Linked DNA regions of Saccharomyces cerevisiae S288C. The protein of the gene in region 2 interacts with the protein of the main gene of each other region in a biochemical or structural test. Each region holds a gene or a part of one and is shown on either strand. Other genes may lie near its edges. The genes, in order: ATG1 and ATG4.

Evidence for each region.
Region 1: of the proteins of ATG4 (region 2) and ATG1, one has a biochemical effect on the other in vitro, tested with the Saccharomyces cerevisiae proteins (2 studies listed by BioGRID).

The regions. Positions count from the first base shown.
Region 1 is NC_001139.9:158,344-163,511, reverse strand, and holds ATG1 (serine/threonine protein kinase ATG1), read right to left. Parts: upstream 3,448-5,168; coding exon 754-3,447; downstream 1-753. Other genes in the region: serine/threonine protein kinase TOS3, read left to right, coding at 1-103; GTS1 (Gts1p), read right to left, coding at 4,416-5,168. UniProt on the Saccharomyces cerevisiae protein: Serine/threonine protein kinase involved in the cytoplasm to vacuole transport (Cvt) and found to be essential in autophagy, where it is required for the formation of autophagosomes.
Region 2 is NC_001146.8:225,454-229,390, forward strand, and holds ATG4 (cysteine protease ATG4), read left to right. Parts: upstream 1-1,916; coding exon 1,917-3,401; downstream 3,402-3,937. Other genes in the region: SQS1 (Sqs1p), read right to left, coding at 1-1,646; SSU72 (RNA polymerase II subunit A C-terminal domain phosphatase), read left to right, coding at 3,641-3,937. UniProt on the Saccharomyces cerevisiae protein: Cysteine protease that plays a key role in cytoplasm to vacuole transport (Cvt) and autophagy by mediating both proteolytic activation and delipidation of ATG8.

The DNA.
Region 1 (5,168 bases), on a different chromosome or scaffold from region 2:
TAACAGCAAGGATGACCTTAGAATAGAAGCAGACGCATCACTTGTATTTGAGGCTAGCGACGCCCAGCGCACGAGAAGAAGAATGTCTCTTTATAAGCTTTAGCATGATATATGTAAATTATTTTAATAGATGTAATATATGATTAGAAACTTGATAGAAGGATCTAAGTTAATTGTCATGTCGGATCCTAATACCAATTCTTTTAATATTGTGTTTGTTTTTGAACGTTTATTATGACTTGTAAAATACTGTTTGTAACAACAAATTATAAAATGAATTTTAATGAACTCAACAAGTAAAAATAATAAAGATATTAATGACTTGTTAAAGCCTCCTCAATCAAATCATACATACATACATTTATATATATATATAGAACAAAAGGTTAAAGAATCAAATTTTGAAGAAATAAAAATTAGATTAAAAGGATATGTATAGCCAAAGGCAAGTACTAAACGCAACAAAAAAAAACTTAAAAAGAAAAAAACACACCGAAACCGAAGGAATTCAATAATTTCCTTAATTAACATTTAAACATCAAAATAAAACCCATCCAGGTATAAAAGAGCTGGATTTCAAGAAAAAAATCACGTAGAAATAAAAACAAAACAAAACACAAAGGGAAAATAAAATTTGAATACTTTAATGACGAACTCGTAAAGCATTTCGAGAGTAGCATAACATAATCATGAAGATACTTGAAAATATAGCAGGTCATTTGTACTTAATAAGAAAACCATATTATGCATCACTTAATTTTGGTGGTTCATCTTCTGCCTCAATATTTTCAACCTGTTTGCAATACTATCAATATACTTTCTTATGATTATTCTGTCATTTTCATCCAACACACTATGATACTTCTCTTTATCTTCAACGTCGTTACTTTTTAGATGTATGTTAGTTTTAAAAGGGTAGTCACCATAGGCATTCGTAAAATCATCATCGTCCAGAGAAGTTTCTAACATCCAAAGTGAAGTTGCATAAGCTAATTCACAGTTGTACAAATTTTCTCCTTTTAATTCCATATGTGCGGCCATCTTAGATATTTCTAATGCACGATCATATAATAGCTTTTCTAAATATACTGGCTCTTCCGAACTACCTTTTTCTTCCAAAGTTTGATTTTCAGCTACCTCAGAAGCATGCTTGAATCTCAAGTCGTTAATTTTTAATCTCAGGAAATCAGCTTTTTCTAAACATTCATTAAATTTTTCCCTTAGCCACTGTACCAACACGTTAACTCTTAGAGAACATGATTTTTCTTGAGATTCATACCACCAGTTGGACGTTACCTGCATAGATTTTGATAAAATGGATAATGCCTTCATATATAAGACAATGGCCTCATTACATAGAAGGATCATTTCCGAACGTGGTAGTTTATTGAAAGTTGCACTCAACTGAGATGTGGCAGATAAAGTTCTACCCTTTCCAAAAGTTTTCGTGGATAAGCAATCTTCCTTGTACTTTTTCAACGTTTCATCCTCTTCTTCTGCATCGTCTGAGTCTTGTTCTTCTGCAATAGCATTACTATCCATACTGCGCCTGTTCTCAAAGTTAGCCATGCCTTTTAATGTTGTTGATAATGGAACAATTTGAGAAAATTTCACTTCTGCATAAGAGTAAACAACAAATGCCTTTGCGGCCAGAGATTCCAAAATACTAACGATATTAGTATTATCTAATTTCAGTGTCTCTGGATGCTGTAGGTGATCTATTCTTAATATTATATTCTCAGTAAGTTCATGAAAAAGTTGGGAATTCAACAAAGTTTGACTGTACGGTGGGGAAGATGTGATTTGTTGCTGTTGCTGCTGTTGATTTGCACCACCAAACAATCTCGTTGATGCAATACCGAGGGCTCTTGATAATGCATTAGATGGATTCAGCGAGGATATAGACAAGCGTCTATCCACCAAAGATGGTCGCCTAGACCCATCACTACCTCCACTGGAAGATGATGTGGCCCTCAGTAACCTCGGATTTTCTCCTTGATTTTGAAAATACTGTTGATTGTTTGGAGAGAATTGCTCATTCAATAAGACGTTCTGATTTTGAGTTGAAGTTGGGTGCTTAATAGGATTTGGATTGAATCCTGCTTGAGCAACCTCGTCTGCCAATGAATTAACTTCAACCGATTTCTTCTCTACCACCACATATTCTCTTTCAAAGCTTCTATCTGAAACTAGGCTATTATGGTATTTATTATTTGAAGCCTTTTTATCTACGGCTTGTGTATGGTCTGTTTTAACGGCTGGGGCAGTTAATATATTGCTGTTCTTGAGGGCATCACTGAGCTCCGCGGGATTATCTGCCATTGATTGATGACCTGCAAGATTACTGTTCGGACTCTTTGGCTGTTTAGATAAATACTCAGAAACGAACATATTACTTTCTACAATACCTTTTGATTTGGATTCTAACTCAGGTAAATCATCTTCCAATTCATAAGAAGACAAGTCTTCGTTGACTACCTTGTTAGCAAAAAACTCCTCAAATCCTATTCTTTGGGCTGGATCAAATGTCAATAAACTACATATCAACTCTTTTAACTCTGGTTCAATATTGCAATATGAAGGAAACGTTATGACATCGTTTGCTCTTTTAATTTTCTTGAATAACTCCAAATGATTGGAAGCTCTAAACGGTGGGGTGCCACAGCACATTTCGAATACCACTGTACCGACAGACCACAGATCTGCTTTAGCGTTATATTTTTGATAATTCAAAATTTCTGGTGCCATATATAATGGTGAGCCACAAAGAGTTTCTGCTAATGACGTGTTTGGCAAAAATCTTGCAAACCCGAAATCTGCTATCTTTAAAATGGGTAAGTTGTAGATCCCAACAAATCCAAGTTCATGGAAGCTTTTTGAATCATGATATCCAATTAGGGGTGTAGATAATAGTAAGTTTTGAGGCTTGATGTCTCTATGAACCAAGTTTTTAGACCTCAAAAATTTCAAAGCGGACGCTAACTGCTGTAAATAACTCAAGACAAACGCTCTATGCAGGCCGTTATGGTTCTCACTCGGTGGAGGGTATTTTTCAAATACGGTCCTTAGTAGAGGATGATTCTCCATCAATTCTTTACGCCTTTTCAACAGAAATGTTAGGTCCCCAAGAGCACAGTACTCCATGATCAAATAAAAATCTGTTGATGTTCGTTCACAGTCAATAAGTCCGACGATATGAGGATGCTTGATTTTCTTCAAGATAGCGATTTCTATTTCCAAATTCTCTAGTAATTTCTTATTTTTTAATTTCGCCCTTGATACTTCCTTTATGGCTACATGCTGAGATTTGTCGGATGTCAGATGCCCTCTATATACAGTGGCAAACGAACCCTTTCCGATTTCTTTCTCAGCGGTGTAATTTCCTGCACTTGCCATTAGATTATGGTTCACAGAGGTTGTGTGATCTTTATTTTTAATGTCTCCCATTTTCTTAATTTCTCGTCTGGTGTTGTAAAAGAGATTTGAAAATATGGGGTAGCTTCAAATTCGTTTTGTGGAGATATCAATGATTATTCTCCTATCTCCTTTGCCTTATGTTTTTATTATATTATATGTTATTTTATTATGGGTACTATTACTACGATTGTATTATATCTTTTTATCTTCTATAGTACTGTTCTCTGTTTCCCCAGAAACTAAAAAGGGTAAAAGATGGCCTTGGTACTTAACTTAAAGGTGATGAAATGTGGCGTTCTAGAATTAACCTCGGCCTAAAAAATAAAAAGCTAAAAAAAAATAGTACGATCAGGAAGATATTAATAATATAAGCTCCTTTATGAGATGCTCGATTCCTTTTGTTGCCAACTAAATGACGCTTAGAATTCCATCGATTCCACGATCGATATAGTTACAAATCACAAACTGATGCTGATGGGGGAAATGGTTTAAGAAATCAGAGCCGAGCGGTTAAAAAGAAAAACAGATGCTTGAATACGAATGATATGCTTGCTTCTTTAACGGTATGGCTTTCCAGTAATAGTTACTCCGATAAGATTCATTACAGATACACGAAACGAACAAGGAAAAGATGATTAACGGGAAAAAAAGAGAGTTCCTTATCTCATTGATTTTAACTAGTGGGTTTTCCTTACATTACCGCCCAATCCCTTTTTTTTTTCTCGCTCTCACCGGCGGAGCGCGAGCGGAAAACGCCACCCAGGTGACTTTTGCGCTAAGTGTGGATCAAATACAGTGGTATTAGTCATTGATGTGCAGCGTAAAACGTCCGGAGCAGCTGTGTAATGCGGCTGTGTAGGGTGAATACAATAGAGAATATGACTAATTCTGGTATATAGTCGTTGTTTACAGATATCTTTCGTTACTTAGTGTCATTTAATTACTTAGTGTCACTCTATATGATATGTAATGCGGAGCAGCGGCAATGTATCTTATTTTTATTGTGTGTAGAAATAACCTTGTGGCAGGTTTCCTCCTTGCGACATTTGCTGAAAAGATAATGGCGCCTGTTGCTGTTGCTGCATCTGAAGCTGTTGCATCTGGATCTGCTGTGCTTGAGCCTGAGCCTGGGCCTGAGCCTGAGCCTGAGCCTGAACTTGAGCCTGTGCCTGTGCCTGTGCCTGAGCCTGAGCCTGTGCGACAGCAAGCTGTTGCTGTTGCTGTTGCTGCTGTTGCATAGCCATGGCGTATTGCTGCTGATCTACATATATCATTCCGGTAGCAGGATCGTAATACTGTTGAAGGGTACCATCGAAAACTGCTGGCTTTGCTTGTACAAAAGATGCTGAATTTGAAGTAAAATCTGGCGTGATTACATTTGTACCATCAAAAATAGCTGGCTGTGGGCCACTTGTTGTCGCACGTCTCCTGGGCAGGGGCGGAGTTGATGTTGTCGCTGCTGCCGATACACTATTTCTTGAACTTGAACTTTTTTCTAGATAATCGATTGCTCTATTGATATTTCCGTGAGCGGACGATAATGCATCTAAATTTTTGTTTGTATCACCGAAACCCATGTCCTTGAGTTCTGCCAGTTGCCTAGAATATCTGCTTCCACTGCTTTGGAATGAGTCCCTGGAACCGCCGTAGTCAGACCTATTATGGCCCCCTTTATAGAAAGAATGAGATCTGCTCCTGCTCCTACTTCTATTTCTTTCATCAAACCTGTCCGATTCCCCATCAAAATCATC
Region 2 (3,937 bases):
GTATCCAGCGCTAAGGCGTCATCGATGAGTAGCTTCTTCTTCTTACCTTTACCCTTAGTTTCCAAGGACTTGGTTTCAAATGTTTTGAATCTTTCTGTATCATGTTTCAATGTGTATGCAATTAGGTCGTCCAGACCCTCTTCAATGTCGCTATGCACAACCGAGGAGGCCATATCTTCATCATCTTCATAGCTGTCGCCTTCATAGCTGTCACCTTCATCACTCGAATCAGAAATCGGAATATCTGAGTAGGTTGGCTCAGCTGGTTCAATTTTTGGTATAAGAGAATTTTTAATAAAATTCAAATATGCAGGTAATCTATCTTCAGGAAGACCTAACTCGTCTACAACGAAGTCTGTGAGTAAGTCCTGGTCAATCCAATGAAAGTCGTAATCTCCCAGTAATCTGTAACACCGTAGATAATATGAATTGTCTACTCCGCCCATTCTTATATTGGAGACCACTATGTCATTAGTATTTATGACAAAATCTTCTTCTTTGAATCCAAATTCTAACTCTTCGCTAGCAGGAGATGGCAGATTATCATTATTGCCTTCGAATGTTTTGGTACCATTTATTGAAAGACATTTTATATCTTCTGTCAACTGCGGACTAGGGCTTGGTAAAAGATTGTTGTCAGCTCGGGAATTGTGACGTTGGCCAACATAATTAAACCCTTGATCAACCTCAGAACTTGCTGAGGATTCGTATAAAGGTTCACTATTATTCTCTGTTTCTATTTCGTAGTCTAGTTCATCATTGTCCGAGTCGCTAGTATGCATACCATGTAATACGTTGGAAATGTAACCAGCAAATGGATGATATGTCTTATTACCCTTATTTGGAACGTCAACACTAATTTCCTTGCTTTCGTTACCTTCGGAAACGCTAAGTTCAACCTTTCCAATTGTTAAGATAGGATCGAACTCTATCGCAACTTCTCTTGGCCTTGCGATTTCCTCGATACATACTCTTTTTATTTTGGTTAGATCCGGCGATTGCTGAGCCTCTTCATCTACAAAAAACAGGTCACCATCTTCAACTTTGCTTTCATTCGAAGACAGCGAGTGGTCCGTCGAGGGTGAATTCTGACTATCATCATCCTCGTTTTCACTGTCTTCATTGTTAATATATTCAACATCAGAAGTCATCTTTCCTGGTTCTTCAAAAACGTCTGCTTCCCTTTCGACAATTTCTTCACTGTTCTTTGTTTCGTTCTTTGCTCTCAGTTTTTGAATCATATTGTGGGATGGATCGTAAACTTCCTTAGCTTTTACAAATTGCATAGGTCTTTTGCGGAATGCTGCCCTTCCTGCTTGTAGGTCAGTTGAAGAATCATATCGATTACCTGGTCTTAAACCACCCATTTTCATAGAACGGCTCTTGGCATCGCGACCAAAATAATAGTCTTCTATAGTTTTTGGTGATATGAATGCTCTTCCTGGGTTGAAGTCGGCGCCTACATCATCAAGATCACCTTCTCCTAGTGGTATAGAAGAGTTATGCCAACTGTTAGTGGGAGTAGGTTTTTTCTTTATCTTTCTGCCTTGTATGCCTTTAGCATTCCCCCTGCCAGCTTTCTTGGAATTGCTACCACGTGCATGCCTACGTCTGCTTCCTTGATAATGACTATGCCTTTTTGCCATTTTTTTTGACGGTTACAACAATTTATGCTTATATTTGACTCTGCGATTAAATCACTTCTTCCTTCTAGAAACTCTGCGCAGGCCTAATTGTTGTTGTTTTGTTCAGATCTTATTTAATTGTAAAATGTCAAATTTCACTTTTATTCTTTAGGCGGTGACCGTTGCAGCTGCCAACAATAGCGCCTCAAAGGAAAAAAGTAAAAATATACACACAATAACGTTAGTAGATGAAGAATGGACGACTTCTTATCACGTATAGGAGTGATATACATGCAGAGGTGGCTACAACTGTGGAAAATGGATTTGGTACAAAAAGTGTCTCATGGCGTTTTTGAAGGCTCGTCCGAAGAACCGGCTGCTCTTATGAATCATGATTATATAGTATTAGGGGAAGTATATCCTGAGCGAGACGAAGAATCTGGCGCTGAACAATGTGAACAAGACTGTCGATATCGCGGTGAAGCGGTTAGTGACGGGTTTTTAAGCTCTCTTTTTGGTAGGGAAATTTCTTCTTACACAAAGGAATTTCTTTTGGATGTACAATCAAGGGTCAACTTTACATATCGGACAAGATTTGTTCCTATAGCAAGGGCGCCAGATGGGCCTTCACCTTTAAGTCTAAATTTATTAGTACGTACAAATCCGATCAGTACAATAGAGGACTATATAGCAAATCCTGATTGCTTTAACACTGATATTGGGTGGGGGTGTATGATAAGGACAGGACAAAGTTTGTTGGGGAATGCCTTACAAATCCTTCATTTGGGCAGAGATTTCAGGGTAAATGGTAACGAAAGTCTGGAAAGAGAATCAAAATTTGTAAATTGGTTTAATGACACGCCTGAGGCTCCATTTTCGTTACATAACTTTGTTTCTGCAGGTACAGAACTCTCTGATAAAAGACCAGGTGAATGGTTTGGTCCCGCAGCTACGGCAAGGAGTATACAATCTTTAATATATGGCTTCCCCGAATGTGGCATCGATGATTGTATAGTATCTGTTTCATCCGGCGATATCTATGAAAATGAAGTTGAAAAAGTATTTGCTGAGAATCCAAATAGTAGAATATTGTTCTTGTTGGGCGTGAAGCTCGGGATTAATGCGGTAAATGAGAGCTATAGAGAAAGTATATGTGGTATCTTAAGTTCAACACAGTCAGTAGGCATTGCCGGCGGTAGGCCGTCTTCATCGTTGTATTTTTTTGGTTATCAAGGAAATGAATTTTTACATTTCGATCCTCATATTCCTCAACCGGCAGTAGAAGATTCATTTGTAGAGTCGTGCCATACCAGTAAATTTGGTAAATTGCAACTATCGGAAATGGATCCCTCGATGCTCATTGGTATTTTGATTAAGGGCGAAAAAGACTGGCAACAATGGAAGCTAGAAGTTGCAGAATCTGCTATTATCAATGTTCTTGCTAAGAGAATGGATGACTTTGATGTGAGTTGTAGTATGGATGACGTGGAAAGTGTAAGTTCTAACTCAATGAAGAAAGATGCAAGCAATAATGAAAATCTCGGAGTACTAGAGGGAGACTACGTAGATATTGGTGCAATATTCCCACACACAACAAATACAGAAGATGTAGACGAATATGATTGTTTTCAAGATATTCATTGCAAGAAACAGAAGATTGTTGTTATGGGAAACACACACACTGTTAATGCGAATTTAACAGATTATGAAGTAGAAGGCGTCCTTGTAGAGAAGGAAACGGTAGGTATTCACAGTCCTATTGATGAAAAATGCTAGTGTAAGGAATTCACTAGTTCATAAGCATATATACTTGTTTTAATATATTCCCTAAAACTGAGGTATCCAGTTCTTTTGTTCTTATTCGTTTGATCATCCTTTACGTATTTTTCGTCTGCGGCAGTGGAAAGAACTTAAAAAACGAAAGATAATAAAGAAAAAGGCCAGTCGGCACGAATTAAAGACCACCTGTAAGAAGATTAAGACAACGGTGGTATAAACTAGTGTCGAAGTCCAAAATGCCTAGTCATCGCAATTCAAACTTGAAGTTTTGCACAGTTTGTGCATCAAACAACAATCGTTCAATGGAATCGCATAAAGTCCTGCAAGAAGCAGGCTATAATGTTAGCTCTTACGGAACAGGTTCAGCTGTGAGACTGCCTGGTCTATCGATAGATAAGCCTAATGTGTACTCATTTGGTACACCCTATAATGATATATATAATGATCTTTTATCACAATCAGCAGACCGTTACAAGTCGAACGGTTTATTGCAAATGCTGGATCGTAATAGAAGACTCAAAAAAGCACCTGAA